Linked DNA regions of Mus musculus: regions 1, 2, 4, 5, 6 and 7 are each reported to be linked to region 3. The links are microRNA targets in miRTarBase. Many come from high-throughput screens and were not tested one by one. Region 3 holds a microRNA gene; each other region holds the end of a gene's coding sequence.
Evidence for each region. Region 3 holds the annotated microRNA mmu-miR-30e-5p (UGUAAACAUCCUUGACUGGAAG, at 1,794-1,815, shown strand). A microRNA usually pairs through its seed, bases 2 to 8, with sites in the 3' UTR of a target mRNA and lowers its output. Matches are read on the target gene's strand: a 7mer-m8 pairs with bases 2 to 8, a 7mer-A1 pairs with bases 2 to 7 and ends in A, and an 8mer does both.

Region 1: the mRNA of Tnrc6b is a reported target of mmu-miR-30e-5p. The part of its 3' UTR that is shown has no 7-base or 8-base seed match.
Region 2: the mRNA of Fnip1 is a reported target of mmu-miR-30e-5p. The part of its 3' UTR that is shown has no 7-base or 8-base seed match.
Region 4: the mRNA of Ythdc1 is a reported target of mmu-miR-30e-5p. Seed matches in the 3' UTR shown: 8mer at 573-580.
Region 5: the mRNA of Ddit4 is a reported target of mmu-miR-30e-5p. Seed matches in the 3' UTR shown: 8mer at 1,874-1,881.
Region 6: the mRNA of Pfn2 is a reported target of mmu-miR-30e-5p. Seed matches in the 3' UTR shown: 8mer at 1,346-1,353.
Region 7: the mRNA of Zfp36l1 is a reported target of mmu-miR-30e-5p. Seed matches in the 3' UTR shown: 7mer-A1 at 2,373-2,379.

What each region holds. Positions count from the first base shown.
Region 1 is chr15:80,928,965-80,932,047 of GRCm38, reverse strand. Tnrc6b (trinucleotide repeat containing 6b) reads right to left here. Exons shown (of 25, transcript NM_144812.3): 25 at 1-2,959. The coding sequence ends at 2,572. Among named protein-coding and RNA genes, the nearest start is that of Mir5113, 9.5 kb to the left of the region's middle.
Region 2 is chr11:54,515,156-54,518,238 of GRCm38, reverse strand. Fnip1 (folliculin interacting protein 1) reads right to left here. Exons shown (of 18, transcript NM_173753.4): 18 at 1-2,741. The coding sequence ends at 2,663. Among named protein-coding and RNA genes, the nearest start is that of Rapgef6, 6.1 kb to the left of the region's middle.
Region 3 is chr4:120,771,392-120,774,474 of GRCm38, reverse strand. It overlaps Mir30e (microRNA 30e), which reads left to right and starts at 1,778; the gene lies at 1,778-1,869. It overlaps Nfyc (nuclear transcription factor-Y gamma), which reads left to right. Exons shown (of 10, transcript NM_008692.4): 5 at 708-803. Mir30f (microRNA 30f) reads right to left here and starts at 1,869; the gene lies at 1,778-1,869.
Region 4 is chr5:86,835,393-86,838,475 of GRCm38, forward strand. It overlaps Ythdc1 (YTH domain containing 1), which reads left to right. Exons shown (of 17, transcript NM_001347375.1): 17 at 292-1,267. The coding sequence ends at 516. Among named protein-coding and RNA genes, the nearest start is that of Ythdc1, 33 kb to the left of the region's middle.
Region 5 is chr10:59,947,890-59,950,966 of GRCm38, forward strand. Ddit4 (DNA-damage-inducible transcript 4) reads right to left here. Exons shown (of 3, transcript NM_029083.2): 3 at 1,786-3,077. The coding sequence ends at 2,647. Among named protein-coding and RNA genes, the nearest start is that of Ddit4, 2.3 kb to the right of the region's middle.
Region 6 is chr3:57,840,587-57,843,669 of GRCm38, forward strand. It overlaps Pfn2 (profilin 2), which reads right to left. Exons shown (of 3, transcript NM_019410.3): 3 at 1,309-2,728. The coding sequence ends at 2,631. Among named protein-coding and RNA genes, the nearest start is that of Pfn2, 5.6 kb to the right of the region's middle.
Region 7 is chr12:80,106,868-80,109,950 of GRCm38, forward strand. It overlaps Zfp36l1 (zinc finger protein 36, C3H type-like 1), which reads right to left. Exons shown (of 2, transcript NM_007564.5): 2 at 893-3,083. The coding sequence ends at 2,722. Among named protein-coding and RNA genes, the nearest start is that of Zfp36l1, 4.6 kb to the right of the region's middle.

The DNA of each region.
Region 1 (3,083 bases), not on the chromosome of region 3:
GCAGTGGACAGTCCCCACAGGCTCCCAGGAGTCTGGGGACACTAAAGTTCAGCCTTCAGTCTGCAGATGTCTGAATATAAGCGGCGCTTCACCTGGACGTCATCACCTGCGACAGAGCTCTGCTCCAACACTGAGAGTCAGTGGGGCTGGAAGGAGACATTTTGCAGGGCAGAGGTGAGAGGGGGTGGTGGTGATGGAAACCAGAGAGCAGGAGGAAGGCAGAGTCCATGAGAACAAGGTGTTGCAGGAACAAACCAGAACTGCACGCTCATTTGCCTACCCACCTGCCAAGGGCGCCCAGATTGTTAAGCACAGGTGCTCATGGGAATGGTGCCCCGTCAGCCTCCTCTGAAGCTAGGTTTATACCCAACAAGGTAAGCCAAGACGACTACAGAATTTCCCACTCACTGTCTTACAAAGCCACTTACATGCAATTTTGGGTTTTTTGTTTGTCTGTTTGCTTTTTCCTATCCATACCCCTCTACCCACCTACACCAAAGACACAAGCTGAAAGTTAAATACATTAGGCATTGTTGTATCCTTCACTGAAGATGCTAAAGAAAGAAAAACTCCCTTGTCCTCAATAGCAGCAAGTCACAGAGGACAGCAGAGGTCTGCTCCCGTCAGGGGTTGGAATGGGCAGGTAATTGCTGGTACAGAATGTCGGCACTTCATGTTGAACAGACAGTACGATGCAGACTGGGATATCACACAAGTGCTAGCATGTTCCCCGCACACATCACGCCCGCCCGCCCGCCCGCCCGCCCGCCCGCCCGCCATCTATTTAGCACGTGAGGATCCCCTTCGGGTTTACTTTCACTCTCTTCACAATAAGAAATTTGATATATTTTGATTCCAACATAGTACATACGTATTGGTGATAACTGTGGATTAAACATTGCCTCCTGTTCGGCCCAGAGAACTACTACATTGATGTTTTTTTAAAAAAGTCTTTAAATACCAAAATAAAAAAACCAACATTACAAGGAAAGAAAAAAAAAAAAAAGAGGTCAAAACCAAAACAAGGTGCAATACTTTGCTAAGTTATTTCTGCCTAAGCAAAACCACATACACAGGAAACAACACAGAGAAACAAAGGGAGACACTTGAAGTACACACTGGTTTAAGAACATTCGTTAAGTAAACGTTTCTGTCAGTGATGGCCTGGTGCTGTAACACGCCACGGCCTGGCACAGGTAATGCTCAGCGAGAGAGAGAGAGAGGGGAGCAGAGAGGGAGGCGCTGCGATGCTTCCAGGAGGCTGCTCATAACTTACTGTCTTCCTCACATGATAATGAGAACTGATAGAAGTAATTGAATTTGCATTACCTGAATCCTTTCAAAAAATTCTCACACCCGACGAGCACAGCAAAGTGGGAACTGTTTTTCAGCTTTTAAAACATCACACGATTTAAAAATTATTGAATCGTCTGTTCTCACTCAAAGTAGCCAACTGGCCAGCTCAGTCCTTAGACTCCTGCTGCCGGGCAGGCAGCTGCTTACTTCACAGCACAGAGGTGAGCAGCAGCTTCTTGGAGGGAGGGGCCTTCTGTCACACCTCTGGCCTTGGCAGTGCTCTGCTCTGCAGCTGGGTCGACAGAAGCTGGGGACCTCCCCGCCCCCCCCCCCCCCCCCCCCCCCCCGCATTCTGGCTGCTGCTCTGTCACTGAAAAGCACCCTTCATCTCGAGGCAGCCAGAAGAAGTGGCTTGAGTTGCAGCGGCTCCCTGTGCTCCTGTGTTCTCATAGTCAGAAATAATGAAAAGCGGATGGCCGGCCAGCCAGCCTTTGGAACTGTCAGCAATGCAGCTTTCTGAGAAATCAGGGTGGGGGTGGGGCGGGGCGAGGCAGGACGAGGAGGGCAGGACGCAGGCACACGAAGAGAGACAGAGAGGAGGATGCACGCAAATGCACATGAACACACGTGCACACACATACCAGAACGAGCATGCCTGGGCAGTTACATGTGCCAGAACACACTGGTATTTATCAACCAGCCAATCACAAAATTTTACCTTTTTTTTTTTTTTAAGTTTTTTTGTTTTTGTTTTTAAAGTGAGGCTCCGTCAAGTCTTCCCTCCCCCCTCCCCCAACAATTCTTTTGAATTTCCCTCCCACCCAAACATGGTAGACCTAAGGACGGAAACACACCCAGTGCAAACAAAGTTAAAAAGCTATTTTTTCAGTATATATGTTTCTTAGCAACAACTTCCATATAACATGAAAAAAGTGAAAAACTAGAAACTAATTTTTTTAATTTTTTTGTGTTTAAATTTAAATGGTATGTGTACTTGCTTCACATTGTCTTTCTAGGTTGGCGTTCATGATTCAAGTATTTCAAGAGTGATATGTTCTCTTTTTGGATTCATATTCCAAACGAAAAAACTGAAGTTTTAAGGGAGGCAACTATGTGCTCAGACAGTCTGTCAATGACCCACCTTTTTTCTCTCTCCGTTTTCTTTTTTCCTTTTAAAAATGTATTTATTGCAAGTTGAAAAAAAAAACGAAAAGGTCAAGTTAGTGCTGCTGCTGTTCCAAAAAAGGTCACGAGGTCAGAGTTGAAAGTTTAAGTTCAGATTGAATCCGACCCTCCTCCCAGAAGGTCACCAGGTAGTAAAGGAGCAGGGCTGCCCATCCTATGGGGATCTTCCACCGTCGGGACTCCCCACAAGCTAGAAGAATAGTTTGGGGGGCCCCACAAGGAAGTGCCGGCAAGATCGGCCCCACTGCTGCCACCAGCGCTGCTGCTCCACTGCCCGAGCCCGGTGGACCCACCGAAAAGGTTCAGCGCAGGTCCAACGGGGTCTGCTTGGTTCTGGCTGGTCTCCAGGGACTGCCACCCTGTGGCAGGTGCACTCGGGGTGGCTGCAGGCGTAGGGGGCTGAGCTTGAGCCAGAAAGCGGCTGACTTCATCCTCAGTGGCAAACTCGGCCAGGATGGTAGTGTTTCCCAACACACACCTACAGAAAGGAGAAGAGTCACGTGATCCGAGGGATCGCCAGCAAGGGGGTGGGGGTGGGGTGGTGTACAGCTGTCAGCCCTCTGCTACTGTGTTGTCTGCATGCCTGACGACAGGTGTGGCGA
Region 2 (3,083 bases), not on the chromosome of region 3:
CATCAAATTGACATGAGTGTTTATTGCACAAATTTCCCCTAGAACTGGGAGGTTATTATAATACAGGTGTACATTTGAGAAATGTATTCAGAACAACAAACAAGTATGTACATTGTATATATTCGTCATCTAAATAACTCAAGAGAAAGCAGAACATTCTCAGAGGACAGCTACCGATGGAGGCATTATGCAAACTGTTAGTGATCATCTGCACTGCGTGCCAATTGCAACAAAATGAAATCTGTAGTAGTATGTTTATTGCACTTCATGTTTTCAAATTCAAAATTAAGACATATTAATAAATGCAAGATACTTAAAATTAAATCAATTAGTTAACATATACAGAAAATTAGTTTTAATCCTATAATATAAAAGATCCCTTTTTAATTTCCTGTAACAATAAACAGGTATTTTTATTATGCAGCACATATTTGTCTGTACCATTAAGTAGTTGAAAAATTATTTTAAACAGGCCAAAACTCTTTTCACATTTATCACAGCCACACTGTAGTGAAGTAGCAGCTCATTCCTTGGGCTTTGAGTAAGTAAAGAATATGATGATAAAAGTATTACAAACTCAGGAATCCTATAAGGACTAGCGAGTTTTTAAGAAACTATAGACCTTTCCAGCAAAGCTGAGTTTTGAGAATATTAGGTGCACAAGCCATTCACTTATTAAAGACTAGAATTTCTAAGTAATGACAGATTTCAAATAGAACTATGAAAAGTTCCATGTTCAAGAAAACATCCCAAAACATTATCTACCTGCTATACATATTATTCTGAGCCACAATCAAAAAATAATGTACAATGGCCCGTAGCTTTCCCAGATTCTAAATTCTAACAGAAATCTACTCACTGAATTTCAACAGAATACAACAGAGCAATTCCACTAACAAATGGGTTACAAGGACATCAAAAACAAAACAAAAACCCCCAAAATCTCCACATCTATAAAAAAACCCTTTGGCACCAAGTCATCCATGGGAGACCCAGGTACTAACTGGAACCAACAAACAGAACCAAGGCCAACTGTAGATACCCTAAATTTGGGGTTTATGTTCCATTAAAACATTCTATTTATTCTTTTCTAGTTGGAATTCTCTTGAACACACATAAAGAGCAAGATAAATGTAACCAGACACATAAATTCAAGATTCTGAAGACTATAAACCACAGAAATTTTTCATTAATTACTGAAAAATTTAAATAGCAAGAATGGATATGTTATAATAAAATTATTCAGTAACCGAACACGTGGGTAGGATTTTTTTTGGGGGGGGGTATGTTTTTCTTTCTTTCTTTCTTTCTTCCTTCCTTTCTTCTTTTCTTTCTTTTTTCCTTTCTTTCTCTCTTTTTTTTTTTTGAGCTAAACAATTTAGAATTAGTCAATGAAAACAGAAACCAACTTTAATTCTAGCATTATGTATATCTTAGCCCACACAAGCAGAGAGTAAGCTCTAATTCAGTATTCAAGTAAACTGAGGTAGTAGAGTATATTGAAAACATGATCTACCCACCTTTTTATTTACATTACTTACAAGAGTTTGGTTCCTTATTAGCCTTTCTTACAAGCAACAATCTGCACTATATACAAAGACAATGACAGATAAGGGGAAAGCTTTGAAAAGCAATCAACATTTGAAAGAAAGGAACACTTAAAGAAAGAACAGTTTTTAAAGATATTACTTCTACTAGTGTAAATTGAGGATTGTTAGGAAATATTCTGCTCATATGGGTTTATAATGGTCGATACTGAAGTTTGTGGCCACCTGAGCATATTTAAAAAATACAGTATTTTTGCCATTGCTTTGGTGCACTTTTTAATCTTAATTTTTATTTATTAAATTAATATGTAAATATTGATAAGAATTAGCTTATTCTTAGAAAACAAATGGTAAAAAGTAGTATCCTTAGGGAATCTAGAACCTTGAGCCTCAAAAAGATTGGCTTAAATACATTTTAGAATGCGTGAAACAGAAAAATCATCAGAAGGTAGTATTTCAACATTATATACAATACTAGATGAAAAAATATTTTTTTAAAAAGGCATTTTTATCAATATTGTATTTCTACCCCTGCTTTTTTAAAAAAATAGATACATATGTACACTTGGGATGGGCACATGACATCTTCACTCATTCTGAGTTTCTCATAATTAACAGTTGTTTTTAATAAAAAAAATACTTAAATAACTAGAAATAAGTTGATCTGAATTGCAAAACAACAAACAAATCAAGGTCTTGTAGATTTCTGTACCATAGAATTAAAAATTAAAAATCAGTGAATTGAAGATTTCTGACATTTGATCATGAGACAACTATTGCTATTCATGAGTTGTGACATTTTATAGAGTTTGTATGAAATTCCTGTATATTCACAGAAAATTCTAAGTTACACTTTGGCTTTTGCAAATTCCACCCCTCTACATACCCCCAATTATTTTGATTTAGTTTCACTTAGTTGAAAAATCTACCACTGCTCAGATGTCCAGTTAAAAATAAAAAGTCATTTGGTCTACACAGACCGCAGCGCAGGGTGATGCGTTCACCTAAAGCGTAATGCACAAAACAAACATCACAGAACAGCAACAGCTCCACAGATACAGCGCCTGTCTCCTTGGTTTCTATTCAACTTTAAACAAAGTTAGCCTCTAGACATGTTAAAGGAGTATCTGAGCAACGTATGGAGAGTGGGTGCTTGCTACCGCAGCCAGAAGAGGAAGGTCACTGGATTCAATCCTGAAATAAAGAAAAGACAACTCAGTTGAGGCTTTCTGTATCCAAACTATGAATCTTAGAGGCAATAGTCACTCCTCCATGGCCAGTGAACCTCAGCACTATGGTGCTTATCCTAGACAAAAGCAAAAGGGCAAGGAGCTAAAGATAACAACACCTGGAAAATTTCACCAACAGTAGCACCACAGACTCAAAGGAATGGATGCTTCTAAATGCAAAGCAGCCAGGGAACAGACACAGGAAAGCACCACAGTTGACCTGTTATTCATCTAGGGACGGATGTGCAAGAAATACAATTTACTAGTAATAAAATAATAGTCTGTGTAAGCTTTTAACCAAAAGTTT
Region 3 (3,083 bases):
AGAAAGTCCACTTGTGACATTCTTTTCAGCTCTGTGTTCACTACCTACCTATAGTAAATTCAGGCTTGAGTATTCAGGCTCAAATTCGGATTAAACTATTCATTAAGCAGTGCAGTTTTGATTTCTAAACTAAAACCCATAGGTAACATAAAAATCAAGCGACTGGATTATAAGTGCCTGTAAAAAGAAAAACAACAACAACAACAACAAACAGTGCTTAGGGCCTTTAAAAAGATCATACAAGTGAATGATGGGCTGACCTTGTGGACCACAGAATGCCAGTTGAGACTGCTGGCTTTGTCCTGAATTAGCCAGAGGATGGTGGTTTTACAACTTTATGGAAGCTTTGAAACCAGAACAAGCAGAAATAGTGGTGAGTAGGGCTCAGATGTCCTGGCCTAGAGCACGAGATATGTGTATCTCTTTCGTTGATTTCTGTCCAGCAAGTCTGATATAAATTGAGCTGTTCTTATTTTTAGCTCTAGACAAACCTAGAGATTTTTAGTACAGTCTAAAAGTCATCTCCTTGGGCTGGGGCATAGCTCAATGGTAGAATACCTGTCTAGCTTGTGTAAAGCTCTAGGTTTAATCCCAGACACTGGGACTAGGGGATAGGAGAGGATCATGTCCTTTTACTTGAAGGATAACAGCCAAAAGAACTAGATTCTTCCTAGGCCAGTTTTTAACTTTGTTTTTCTTTGTTACAGAGGAATGATATTGCCATGGCAATTACAAAATTTGATCAGTTCGACTTTCTCATCGATATTGTTCCAAGAGATGAACTGAAACCTCCAAAGCGCCAGGTGAGCTGGGAGGATTTGCTCAGCTGCCACCTCCAGGGCCTGGGCAAGATGCTCTCCGGAGCTCCTCCCTCCCTCCCACCCAAAGCATTTCTTGTTTGTGGTTCTCTTCCGTAGTCCAGATCATCCTCAGCATCTCCTTCTACTCATTTATGGGTACTTTTAACTCAGTGCCTCTGGGGTGGGGTTGCAGTGAGAGAACAAAGTTAAAAAGACTAGTCACAGATAGTGGGGTGAAGCTCAGTTCAGGATTTCTTCATCTAAAATAAAAGCTTTTTCAGCCAGTCAGTTTTCAGATTCTAAGAAACAACCTCTTTGTGCATAGTGATCAGATTGGAGCCAGTGGCTTTTATTTTCTTACTCTATGCTGTGTCTCTGTAGTGTGATGACTCTACCCATCATCCACTGAGTCAGAACCTATGACCCCATGACCCCAGGAATCAATAATTAAAGTTCCCTAGATGCTTTGGTGTCCAGTGAAGTTTTAGAACCACCATTTACATTTTTCTTTTTAATTACAAGAACTAAGTGTCTGCCCTTCTTCTGCCTGTTCATCTCCAAAGATCACACCATTTGTTTTGTTCAGCACTTGGGTGCATATAACTTAGTTGTGATTGTGATAGACCCCAGTCCTATAGAGCTCATTGTTTCAGGCACGCAGTTTGCATGATTCACTAGGTTTAGTGTAATATGCCTCAGAGAAGTAAAGCCATACCATGTCCTGCTTGTTTTATTTTTGTTCATAAAATATAAGTGTTTTTAACTAATTATTTTGTAGTATACTGTTTAGAGTCATTTAATGACAACCATTCTCCCCATGTTGACCTGTACAAATAACCAGTCAGAAAACCTGTTGGAGAAGTGGGCATCCTAATTGACATTAATTCTGACCCTGCATGAGGGTTTTTGGGTTAGCAAGCCCTGGGTCACCTCCTTATGGGAGCAGGTTGTGCCTCACTGAAGCTCTTTATTTTTCTGGGCAGTCTTTGCTACTGTAAACATCCTTGACTGGAAGCTGTAAGGTGTTGAGAGGAGCTTTCAGTCGGATGTTTACAGCGGCAGGCTGCCACAGTCGTCCCCGGCTGCGCTCATCGGCTTTGAGACATTGCAGGTTTGTGCCCATGAACTTGTCTCCTTTTCTTGGGTTACTTCCTTTCTCTCTGAGAAGTCACAAGAACTCAGACTGTCTCTCTTCGTTTGGAGCTGATAATACCATGAGCCTGTTTTCCTTATTGGATTTTTGCTCCCATGTATCCACCAGGAGTTTCCTTTAAAGACAAGGTGGTAAGATCTGTGATGCAGTCAGGCATTGCTCTTATTGTACTGATTGTTCACTATGGGCTGCCTGCTGAATAGATGACTAAAGAGAAAGTTATTATCCTATACCAGTGGTTCTCAGCCTTCCTAATGCTGCACCATTTAATACAGTTCCTCATGTTGTAATAACCTCCCAACAATAAAATTTTTTTCATTGCTATTTCATAACTGTAATTTGCTACTGTTATGAATTTTAATGCAACTATCTGTTTTTCAGTAGTCTTAGGTGATCCATGTGAAAGGATCTTTCCATCCCACAAAGGGGTCACAACCCACAGGTTGAGAGCTGCTGACCTATACCTTCCTCCAAAGTTGTTTGTTCTTCTGGGTCTGTCAGGGTGTTAGATTTGCTGGTGGTCTACCCCATCTCCCTCTTTTGTTCTTTGGTTTGGTTTGGATTTTTGAGATAGGCTCTCCCTGTGTATCCCTGGCTAGACTAGACTGTGTAGACCAGGTTGTTCTGGAACTCGGAGAGATCTATCTGCTTCTGCCTCCTGAGTGCTGGGATTCAAGGCATGGACCACTATACTTAGTCCATCTCCCTTTAAAAGGTATACAGCAAGAACACTCCTTTAGCTGCCTGGTTTTAGTTCTTTGTAGGTGTTTGAGCTATTGATTGGCATCCTATTCAGGACAGCTGCTGCCTGGCATTTAAAAGGTTGAGATTGCTGAAAGCTGGCCTGAAATTCTAAGATAGCATTTTTTAATTCTCTGTAGACATGAAGTTTTCCCAAGCTCCAAATTGGCTGGCACCTCCTAAAGTCCTTTAAAAGTGCCTACTCTCCAAAACACACCCTCTGAAGGAGGCAGCAGTTCACCCTGCCACTAAAGCAAATGTATTTTTTCCCCTAGTCTGGAGCTGGCTGCTCATCAGTGTAGTGATGACCCTGTGCTGTGATACTGTTTGTTCACTGTCACTGTTTTTCAGTCTCAGCACTGGAGAAGCCACTGTTAGTGTGGAGCAGG
Region 4 (3,083 bases), not on the chromosome of region 3:
TTTGCTAGTATATAGGTTGTAGGGATGGAGTGAGTGAACAAGGATAGTTATGACTGAGTTGTTTATTATATCTTACTAAGGAATCAAATGGAAAGTCTCTACAAGTGGAATAGGAAATTACAGGAATACATGGTGCTCTAGTTAGTGCTGGTAGTGTATATCACCATTAAGTTCCATCCATGACTTCATGGTTGCGTTTTCTGATTTCTTCTTTACCAGACAACTGATAAAAGGGTTTTTAACTTTCATATAAAGTTTTGCTTTGCTGATCTGTTTTCTCCTTTTTCCTAGCATGACTATGATATGAGGGTCGATGATTTCCTTCGCCGCACGCAAGCTGTGGTCAGTGGTCGGAGAAGTAGACCTCGAGAAAGAGATCGGGAGCGAGAGCGAGACCGCCCCAGAGATAACAGAAGAGATAGAGAGCGAGACAGAGGTCGTGATCGAGAAAGAGAGAGAGAAAGAATATGTGATCGGGACAGAGACCGAGGGGAGAGAGGTCGTTATCGAAGATAATGTGCTTTTGGAAGCACTGACTGAAGATAAAGAAAATATTGTATTTTTTTTGTGTGTGTTTACAAGTAGTAAATTTATTTTCAGCTGTCGACTTAAAGCTCATTGTGTAGAAGGATTTATTATCACCTTTGTTCCAAGCATGCAGTAGAATAAGAACTGGAAAACTCAGATCCGCCAAAAAAATGCACAGTTGACAGTTGGGTTGACTCTTTTATTGGGGCAGAATGGAACAGTCCAAGAATGTAGATATTGATTCATTCTCCATAAATGTTCTTTTTACAGTGTATTCATCCTAGAGTTATTTTGTTTGTTTGTTCTCCTTTTGGACCTTGGTCAATAACTGCCATAGAATTTCGCTTTGTGTTTCTATAGGTAGCTGCTCACGGTTCAGTAAAAATACTGCTGCTATCAAGTATGCAAATATGGAAGTATGATGGTTTGACTATATGGCAGTGTTGTAGCAGCCTCTCGGTTTTTCCTCTTTCCTCCTTTTTTTTAAACCTATAAAGTCACTTTTAAGTCTTCAATGATGAGAGCAATATTAAGAAGACGTTGCTATCTAATTTTTAATCTTTTTAAATAAAAAGTTCCTGTGTTCAGTAGCATGGTTAATGCTATTGTTTAGCCTCCCTTTTAAACTGTACACTGGCTTGGAATGTTCACAGTTTCGCGTGTGTGGCAGCAGAAGATAACCCCACATTCTACATTGCTACTGTTTTGTATGAAATAAATTGATAAAGATTGACACTAACTTGCTGTATTTCCTTGTCTGATTGCATAAGTATGACAATATATTCTCTCCTATATAAAATCCCATGGAGTGGCATTATGTTGGTAATTTAGTTTGTATTTATACATCTGATATTTTGGATCCATATTTTAGGGTTTTTTTTTTCATCTTCTGTGTTTGAATTTTTTTAAATATAGTTTTCTCTTTTCTTAGACTGTTTTTTCACATTTCTGGCAATCCTTCTTTGTAACAATCCTCTAACCACATAACAAGAAGCTGATAAAAGTGGTTTCTTTTTTCCTTTTTGCATTTAATTTCTTGATTTGAACCTGAAGTTCGGTCTGTATGAATTGACTGTCTAAACTTTGGGACTGAATTTTGGCAGTTTTCTTTTTTACAGTATTGAACTTAAGAGTTACAAAGTCAGTACATGGGTTTGTGTTTTAAGTAAGGCTGCAGAGAACACAGGAGCTTCAGTATTGTATAACTTTGGCATATCTTCCTATACACGTAAATTCTGTTTACCAATGTCAGCATTAAAGACTGCAGTCATTAAATGGAGGAGTGATGGGTCTGAAAGAGTATTTGGTGATGTTAGGTCGTGTCATTCATTTCCTATTAGTAATTTTATACATTTATAAGATACATTCTATTCATCCCTCTCCCTCCCTCTTGTCCACCTGCCCATTTTCCTCACGAGTCTCCACCTCACTTTCACAACTTTCTGTTTTGGTGACCCCACTGAGGTATTTTATTCCATCAGGTAGTTAGTTGCACATTGTATAATGTCTGCTCTCTTCCAAGTCCTTAACCACCAAATACTTTGATTAGAAGCAATCATCAGAAATGTTTGTTTTTTAAAAATTAATAGTTCTACAAAACTAGTAGGCAATATTAAAGTTCTTTCTTGATGGTAAAATGGGGTTGTAAATCACATTGAACACACTGCATTGCACACTTTTGTGCTGTATACCAACTGACTACATCTTTTATAATTCTGATCTCTGATTAGACTTGGACAGCAGGTTCATGTTCCCATAGAAGTTTTTTTCATTGCTAATGAAAAAGAATTTAAGAATATCTCAAAAATGATGAGTAGATATTCATACTTAATGTTTTAAGGATTAACTGTCTTCAGGTTTCATTAGTCATGGCTTTTCTTAAAAGTCCATCTATTGAGAAGCTGTATATTTTGTGTGTTAGCTTCTCCTGGTGGTTATCATTTCTAATCCCAACACAAAGTCCTGAGGCAAAGGATTGCCAGCAGTTTAAAGGTAGCCAGAGCAGAAGTGTTGAGTAGTTTGTTTTATTTTTGAGACATGGTCTAACACAACTCTAGAACAGGCTGGCTATAAAATCTGATATCCACCTGTCTTTTCAAACGTTTTGGGATTAAAGATAAATGCCTGCTTGCTTTAAAAGCTTTTTCAGTGGGCAATTTTGTTTACAAAATATATATCCATACAGTGATTCACCTAGGTAGTTATTACTTCTTATTTGCCATCTTTTGGGAGGGACATTTAACATGCATTTAAAAGCAGTCTTTTGCTTAAGCATACAGCATATCACTGTGTGCATTGTATCTGTCAAGCTTGGTTCTTTGATCTAACTGTAAATGTGAAGCCATTATTTCATGTGAGGCCCTCATTTCAGTCATGAAGGTCAATTCTGACAAAATAAGAGTGAGTAGTTGTCTTTTTCCTTATATAGTCTAACTAGAAGCTTCAGTTAGTGTTTTAGCTCCCACGAGGCTTTTTTAATGGTTCAGGAATGTGAGCTTACTTTAGTCAGTTACATGCTTGCTTCAGATGGAAATACTTGTATCAGCTGGTTTATG
Region 5 (3,077 bases), not on the chromosome of region 3:
GATGCAGGGGGGGGGAGGCAGAGGAGAGACCTAGAAGGCTGATACTTTTCTCTGGGTTTTAAAGGAAAGGCAGAGAGGCCCATGTCCCTGGCAGAGGTTACTTGAGAGAGTAGAGTCTGGTGCTGAGCCGGCTTTTAGGCTTCTGGGTCACACTGGTTCTAAGAAAGCAGTCCTTCCTCCTACCTCCATCTGACCAGCTTTGAAATGGAAGGACCCACTCAGACCTGGAGATACCAAGGCAGGGGAAGGGCTGGCTGTGGCTTTCCTGGCTTTTGCTTGGGGTTAGGAACACAGAGGAGCAAGCAATGTCATAGTCTCAGTTTTATGAACAGCATCTGTCAGCTAAAGGGGGGTGGGGGTGGGCTGCACCCTCAGGTTGAGTGAGCATGGGTCAGCCTTTGTCTGAAGAGATGGTCATTCTCCATGCCCAAAGACATTACAGAACACCCCTGCCCAACCTACCCCTCTTAGGATGGTTACTAAGAGGGACCCTAAGATAGGTGAGGCTGTCTGTATCCTCCCTCCCACCCTCCTTCCCTTGCTTTATTTTATTTTACTTTATTTTTGAGAGAAGTAGAATCTATGTTATTATAGCTGGTCTCAAACTCATCTAGACTAGTCCAGGCAAGTCTGGAGTTGACTCTACAGCCCAGGCTAGCTTCAAGCTCACTATATAGGTTGGATTCATGGCAATCCCCCTGCCTTCGCCTCTCAAGTACTGGGATTCCGGTTGTACATTGACTGTCACACCTGGCTTCTAACTCAGGTTTACTCATTTTGGGGAATAAGCTCTGAGGATTCTATGAAAGAGATGTGGGTCTCCTGGGCTACCCCAAAGGTCAGGTCCTGGATAGAATCCCCGAGGAAAACCAGATGTTTTTAGTCTCTGCTTTCAGCTCACTGGAAGGATCTGGCTTTCCTTTGTGGTTGGTGGGAGATGTGGAGATAAGTCTAGGGTCTTTTACTTGTCAGGCAAGTACTTTACACTGAGCTACATCCCCAGCCTGAGGGAACTGTTCTAACTAAGCCCTCCAAAAGGATGCAAAACCAAGAACCGTTTTTTTACAGTCTTGGGGCACACAAAGGCAGTCTGGGATCAGGAAGAGAAACAAAGGAGACAGTCATTCTCCAAGGGCCACTTGGTGTGGGTGGACTCTGGAGTCGGGGACAAGTGAGAAAGGCCTTGGCCTTCTTGGCTCAACTCCAACATTTCTGATAAGAAACCCAACTCCAGCCTTCTGTCTGGGAAGGAAGTCAGGGGTCACCCTCGTCATCCCCCTGCCTTTGTATGGTCTCTGCTCCTGCCTGGGCCACATCTCCTGAGCCTAGGTTTCTTGCCTAGGGAGAGGTTTAAACTGAATTGTCTTTTGCAAAGGTCTCTTAACCTTTTTTTATACCCAGAGATAAAACCATACCCTTGACTATGTACCACATCAGTCTAGACTTTTCCTCAGAGAAAAGGCCTTAGGCTAAGGAGACTGGGCCTTCTCACCTGGAGAGCAAGGTAACCCTCCTTGTAGAGACTCAGACTTCCAGGGAGGTCTGACTCATCTTTCACCTTCGGGTGCTTTCCAGCACATTCTCCTGGTAGCTCCACTCAGCAGAACTGAGGGACCTTGGCTCTGATGGCACAGTTCCCAGGTTGCCAGGCAGTCCAGGAGCTCTGATGGCAGTTACCAGGCAGTCAGGGGACACACAAGTGGCCCCTGAAATCTGATGAAACTTGTGACCAGCACCCACCACTCTCCCTTTTCATTTATGGCGCCGATGAGACTCAAGTGTTTTAACAAACATGTTTATTAGAAAAGTAAAAATATTGCATAGGTCTTAATACTTGAACATCAAGTGTATTCATGAACCGCGAGTAACTTCATGTAAACAGGTTCTAGATGGAAGACCCAGGTGGCACTCCTCTGGGAAAAGAGGGTTCCAGCCCCCCACCCCCACCCCAGCCCCTCTCCTCACAGTTGAATCCTCCAGTACATGGGCACCGGGATGGGCTGGCTGCAGCTCCCAGGTGTAATTTTGTTTCAAGTGTCGAAGATCCCGAATGATCCTAACACCCACCCCATTCCTACTCTTACATTCATGCAGTCTGTAAGATAGCTGCCTCGAACAGGTCAGTAGTGAAGCGCCGATCCCCACCCCCCAAAACCAAGATACAAAACAAATGACAAAACACACTAGGTCCTTTCAGACCAGAAGATACACAAACTGTCGGCCACCTCCCCCTGCCTCCCCCCCAGCCCCCAACCCCCAGCCGGGGCAGAGGCCAGTGCAGACCAGCTGCCCTTCTGGCTCTGGCCCACAACTGCTGTTGTAACTTGTCAGTAATAAAAAAAAATAAGGTACATGCTACATACACATCCAGCCAGAAGCCTGTGTGACTCCTAAGCCTTTGTTTCATGCTACAGTACTGAGGGGCGTGTGCCCCAACAGGGAGCCACCTGCATACAACCTAGAGACTTCCTGGAGAACACTTCCTTCCCCCACCTGGCCCTGCGCCCCTCAGGTGGCTATCGTCAGTTTTCTAACACAGGGGACAGTCCTTCAGTCCTTGCCTGCGGGTCTCCACCACAGAAATTCCTTGTCTTCACTTTGGGGGGCAGTGAGAAACCCTCCCCGCACCCCACCCCAGGATGTAGTTCAACACTCTTCAATGAGCAGCTGCTCGGAGCTGTAGAGTTTCTTCTTGATGACTCTGAAGCCGGTACTTAGCGTCAGGGACTGGCTGTAACCAGGGACCAAGGAAGAGTTGGCAGAACTTAACAGCCCCTGGATCTTGGGCCAGAGGCGAGAGTCCAGACGCAGCACCAGGGTCAACTGAAAGGTGGGCACCAGGCTGGGGTCGAGGGCCAGCTGAGCCACGCTATGGCAGCTCTTGCCTTGCTCCACACACACGTCCAGCAGTGCCCCCCGCAGGCCGCACGGCTCACTGTATGCCAGGCGCAGGAGTTCCTTGCCCACCTGGCTCACCAGCTGGCTCGGCATGAGCAAACGCGCAGGGCGCCGCGAGCCCAATCGCGCCTGGGACAGGCTCTCCTGCAGCAGCTGCATCAGGTTGGCACACAGGTGCT
Region 6 (3,083 bases), not on the chromosome of region 3:
CCTTATGTTAAATTCTCAGAAGAATATATATATATGATAGGCTCACACACACATATACCACCCCACATACATTTCCCTAAGTATATTTTCTTTTAAAATTGTGAGCAAGAACCAGTGACAACCTTTTACTATTCAGCGTGACAATCACTCTCTCGCAATTTCTTGGTAGTTGTTAAGGGTTTCACAATGTGGTTTACTACAAATCAGATGGGAATAATTGCTCAAAAACCTCAAATCACATTATCTCTAAATTTTCATTTGTCCATCTTTATTCTTAACAAAGACTGATACCAGGTTTTAACTGTTCTGTAAAGTCTTGGGTTTCTTAATGAACCAAAGTAAACCCAGTTTTCTATCTTCTAAATATTTTACATCTTATATGTAAATTTAATTCAAAATTACTGTCTAGCAACTTGAAAAGGGAAAATTCATTATGTGCAGTATATTTTAAGTATGGAAAAGATTAATTCCTGTTCCCTAGCCCAGTCTTTCTCACGGGTAGTAATGCAGGTCAACAAATACAAGACACACTGCTTATTTCTAAACCCTGACTCCCTGGCCTGTGGACTCTGTACCTCTAAGGTGTGACCTGGGGCTATGTCCATGTTACCAGCTCCTCAGTTTCACTGAGGATAACCGGAGCACCTACTGCTAGGTTTCTGCTGGATAATTTGCAGTAAAGGTTTGCCTCAAAAGTCTTGAACTTATTTACTAAAGAGACTGTTAGATTAAAATATTTAGCTGTGTTCTACCCATTACTCTGAAAACCAGAAAATGCATTAGCATCAGTCTCCTGAGTGCTGACTGAGGAATGGCCTCTGGTCTTTTATGAGACTGCCTGGCTGACATCAGGCTGCCAACACAGACTACAAATCTACAGTCACTGACACTTCAGTCCAGAAGAACCCTCCATAATGGAGTCTTCTTGCCAGAAACTCTTCTTGCCAGTGGGGCCTCGTGCTTATGAGACTGAGTTCTCATCGAGAGGCCAACGTGATATATTTATTCCCTAGCAGGTTACTTTTCTTCACATTAAGTCTGAGGATGATCATAAAATGAAGACACAAAAGCCACATTTAGTAGGCCAAAGCTTAGTGAAAAGAAATTTGTAGGGCCTTTCATGTGCTTGCAGATGAGTTTGGTCTTTCCCTCAGAGTCCCTTGTCAGCTAAAGCTGCCTCTGAAGGCTTAGGCAGGAGTACTTTGAGTTAAAGGCCAACAAGGACTACACAGCAAATACCTCCCCTCTACCCTCCAAGATCAACAATAACAACAAAGCCAAAAATTTATAATAAAAACAGGAGTCCAATGGAGTATTTGGTTGGAATAAATTTATTTCATCTGTCTGTAAACAAGGTGTTTAATAGTTATGGCATTTTTTTAAATGCATATTAAGTCAGATGAGTTAGACTGTATCCCAGATGTAACAAAGTGCAGGGAAAGAAATGGACAAATCAGCAACAAGATTTGTTTTTAAATCTGTACATTATCCACAATGCCCAAACAATAGAAGCAATACTAGAATGTCCCTAAGGTAGTGCCATTCGAAAGGAAATCCATCTCACAATAGCAACAGTTCATTTTAACAATAGTATGGCACAGGATACATATGAAAAAAATACATCACAAGACAGCCAAGTCCACAATAATGCAACTTCATATAAAAACCTAAGCTGCAAATAAAAATTGGTCCTATGAAAAATAAACTGGACACACTCCAGATGGTTATGTTGGGATACCTAATATCCATAATGGCAGCCTTTACATTTTCTCAAGAGCACAGCTGGTGTGCAAGAAAAGACAGGTCTGAGCTACTGCAATGACAGAATGTCCCTGGGAATTTGATCGGTATGGTTACTGCAGTAAGGTCGTGGGAGGAAGTGCCTTTGCTCTCCAAGCTGCACGCTTCATGTCCTATAGACACTACAAATAGTCTGTCCCAAGTGCAGTCACTGTATTAAAAAGTAAAACACTGCAACTCTCAATAGCTCATCAACAGAGGAGGTATTAATTAGTTAAATAAACCAGGCACTACACAGAAGAGAATGGAAGCAGACCAAACACCTCGTGTTGGTAGGGAGGGGTGAGAAAGGTGTGACGTACAGAGGCATGCACTTTTTCCTCCCAACCATGCGCTACAAAAGGAAGACTAGATGAGCCAAGGAAATGCTCCAAAGTGCTGAAAAGACACTGATCGAGTTAGAGACTGTACACCGGCACCTTGCTTACTATTAACCTATTTTAGTAATCAGTAATCCACTAACTGCTAAGACGAAGTGATGCCCAACTTGGCATGCCCCCTTCCCCCAGTTTCAAGATATCATGCAAATCATTATTGTGCTGCAATTATGATGCCAGATAAAGGTTGGTTACAGACCTCTTCAGGTATAAAGCGAGTTCATATGTTTTCTTGTTAATTGTGCCTGCGTGGACACCTTCCTTTCCCATGACTATAACCAATGCTGGAGTACACAAGGAAACAAAACAAAAATGAACACAATTATTTAAGGGGAAGGGGCAGAAAGAAAGACACCTTTCCCCACCAACAGAGGGATACAAAGGAGACTTAAGCTTACAGCTAGGAAAATTTAAGAGCAATTTTCCCCTAATACTTAACAGTCTGCCTAGCAGCTAGAACCCAGAGTCTCTCAAGTATTTTGCCATTGAGTATGCCTTCTTATTCAATCCGCCTCCATGGACCCCTTCTTTTCCCATTACAAAGACCAAGACTGAAAGAAAAAGGAGAAAAGTGTTTCAAAAGGAGTGTTAATCAAGAAATCACGTAAGTTTAAGCAGATAGATTAATAAATTAACATTAAGTTAGTTTCCATGAACTGTTAAACACTGAAATCCATTATGTCTCCAGAATGGAGAGCCTTCAGGCTAGTAAATAAACTAAAAACAGCACACTACTGGATGCATGTAGGAAACCCCACTGTACAGCAGCTAATTTCCATAAAGGGATCTTTATGAGAGCTAGGAGGAAAGTGACAGTTTACCTTGCATCCTAGGAGAAACAGTCTGGCTGATATCATGCTATTCATCTCCTACAACATACTTTAAAAACTTTCATATTTTTCATTT
Region 7 (3,083 bases), not on the chromosome of region 3:
ACTCAATTCTCCCAGACCCTACTCCTTTAAAAGAATCACTTTCCAGCAGGGTCCTGGTGACACATGCCTTTAACCCCAGCACTCAGTAGGCAGAGGCAAGTGGATCTCTTAAGTTTGAGGCCAGCCTGGTCTACAGAGAAAGTTCCAGGACAGCCAGGGCTGCAGAGAAACTGAAAAATCCAAAATTCCAAAGAGAGAGGGGGAAAAAAATCACTTTCCAGGGGCTCCCTGATCCTGGCTGTCTGTCTCAGGATCCTCCTGCCTCAGCCTCCTCCAGCAACTCTTGCGCCACAACTGGCCTACCACCTCCCTTGATGGGAACTACTGACTTCCTATACAGTCTATGTTAACCTCCATCTTCCCTTTCCAGCCCTGCAGTCAAATCCAGGTGCAGACTGCCCTTTCCCATCCTGGTGGCTCCTCTGCAGGCAGGCAGTGCTTCCTCATACCGGTTCAGGGGTGTACTGAGGCTAGGACCTTGACTAGGTTAATGCCTATGAGACCAATACCTATGAGCCCTTGACACAGTCAATGTAAGCCAGCAAGTGCAGCATGGGCTATGTACTTTATCAGTAGCACCCTGACCATCCCCCAAAGGAAGTTCATAGTGGGAAGACTGGATGATCCTGTCACAGCTCCCTACAGTAGCCAAGGTCACACAGGTCAGCAAGGATACCCTGGACCTGCTCTCTGCAGGCTCCTTTGCTAAAAAAAAAAAAAAAAATAAATAAAATAAATAAAAATAAAAAATACCTCCGCCCCACCCAAGCTGAGTGACCTTAAGGCATCAACATCCAGAGTTATGGGTTTAGCTTTAAAGATGAAAGACCAGCCACCTCGTTGCCCCAAGGAGTGTCAGACCAAGGAAAAACCTATAGACAAATCATTTCTTGAAAAACGGGGTTTATTGATTTTTAAACTGCAAATAGTCGTTACAAAAAGTTTTTTTTTTCTTTTAAATAAATTCACACAAAGAAAGAGAAATAGAAAGCGACGGTAGTGACCAGCAAGAGGAATAATAATTACATTCATCTTTATGTGTGTGCGCCAGTTGTTTATGTCAACATTGGAAAACTCCAACCTGGAATCCAGAACCACAAATCTGCGAGCGGAATGTCTTGAGATGGGCACATGGAATTCAAAGGGTTTTTCTCTTTTTTTGTTTTCCCTTTTAGAAGCTATACATAAAATGGTGGTTTTCCTTCTGTACTGTCACAGAACTTATACATACATTCTCAGTCCTACCTGTGAAAGGCCTAAGGAGAAAGAAACTCAATTTGCAGTCCAACACAAAGGGGAGAATTTCTAAAATAAATAATCCAACAGTTTTTTGCATTTTTTTAAATTAATTTTTCATTTTTTTAAAATAAAATAACCAAAAAAAGTGTAAAGTTACAAAAATGTTGTTGAAGAATAATATATTAAAACTGTGGAAAAAAGGAAAGACACGTCACAAAATTTTAAGATTAATATGAAGATCATAATTTAACATAAAAGAATATATTCTATGGATTTGTCATCCCGATAAATATGAACAAAATTAACAAAAAAAGCATAGTTTGGCAATAAATACGTTTTGATAAGTTAAATAAGCTTTTTTATATTGATGTGCAGTGATAAGCAACATTTTTGCTCTCCAATTTCTGAAAGTTAGATGAAGTTTAAACCCAGGGAAAAAAGCATTGTGTGGGGGCTCTAAGGTAGACCTAAGGTATTCTAGAGCAAAATCCATTAAAGCTACTTCTACAGGAAATCGTTTTACACAGATATTGTATGTGGAATGCAGACCATTAACTGCTCACCCCTTACATGTTTTTTTTTGTTGTTTTTAGCTTTTCTCTCATTTGTTGTCATTTTTAAGATGTCACATATGAATTGGGGAACTTTAGCACCAAAATCAAGTCTCTCATAGTCCATCTAGTTTCCCCTTCCTCCCCACTTAAAAAAAAAAGAAAAGAAAGAAAGAAATTAAATCACGAAGTCCCACTTATGTCAAAACCTTCGTCCAACTTGTTCAACCTTTGTCCCTGGAGACCTACACAAACCCAGGCAAGATTAGTCAACAGGGGTTCGGGCTGGGAAGTAAAAGGTTTTGAAAGTCAAAATAGACCCCTCCCCCCAAAAAAACCCCAAGTCCAGCAACAACTCTCTGAGGGAGGTGAGTAACTATAAGGAAGAGGAAGAGTGTGCGGGAGACCGAAAGAAAGGTGCACTTGTGTGGCCAGCTGGGGGAGCTGCTGGTTGCGGGTCACCCCACCCCCACCCCCAACCCCACGGGCAGAGGCTCTGGGAGGCCCACGGGTGCCCCCTGGCGTTGAAGAGGTAATGTAGTCACAGTGACAAAGTTAGATTACAAGGCACTAAGTTGCTTCTGTAAACGGTTACTGCTTTTTTTCTTTTGTGATTTGGCACTTAAGGCTTAAGCCGGGGGGGGTGGGGGGGGGTAAAAAAAGGCATCTACTGACAAAAGATGGAACTCTGTTATGCGTGGTTAAGTGGGCTATGAAATGGAGGGAGAGGGTTTCAAGCCAGAAGCTACCAACAAATTGACTTGTCCTTATGTGGGGGGAGGGTAACATACCAAGGTTGTTCTGGGAAAGGGGCTGAGCTTAAATGTATCAATGTGGGGTTTGAGGGAAAGTTAGGGGGTGGGGAGGTGAAGGGAAGAGATGGGGTGGAGAGGTGAAGGAGGCATGGGGGGGGGTCCCTCCCTACCCTGGCTTAGTCATCTGAGATGGAGAGTCTGCTGAAAATGGGCAGGCGTCTTGAGTTGTCCAAGGTAGGGGAGTCTGAGCCACTGTGGCTGGAGCTGGAGCTGCTCAGATAGCCCTCGTGGTCCGAGAGAGAATCCTGAGGGCTGGGGGGAGAGTCAAACATGTGAGGGGATTCGGACATGGGCCGGAAGAGGAAAGTGGTGGGGGAGCCTCCCCCAGGCAGCCCCATGCTAGGAGCAAAGAGGCTCGCCAGCTCCTGGCTGGAAAAGGCGAAGGGGTTATTGGTGCCATCGGGCAGAGTAGGTGAGCCCAAGAGGTCATCGGCGCTCAGGATAGGGGGTGGGGTGATGGATGTGGGGCTGTCCAGCA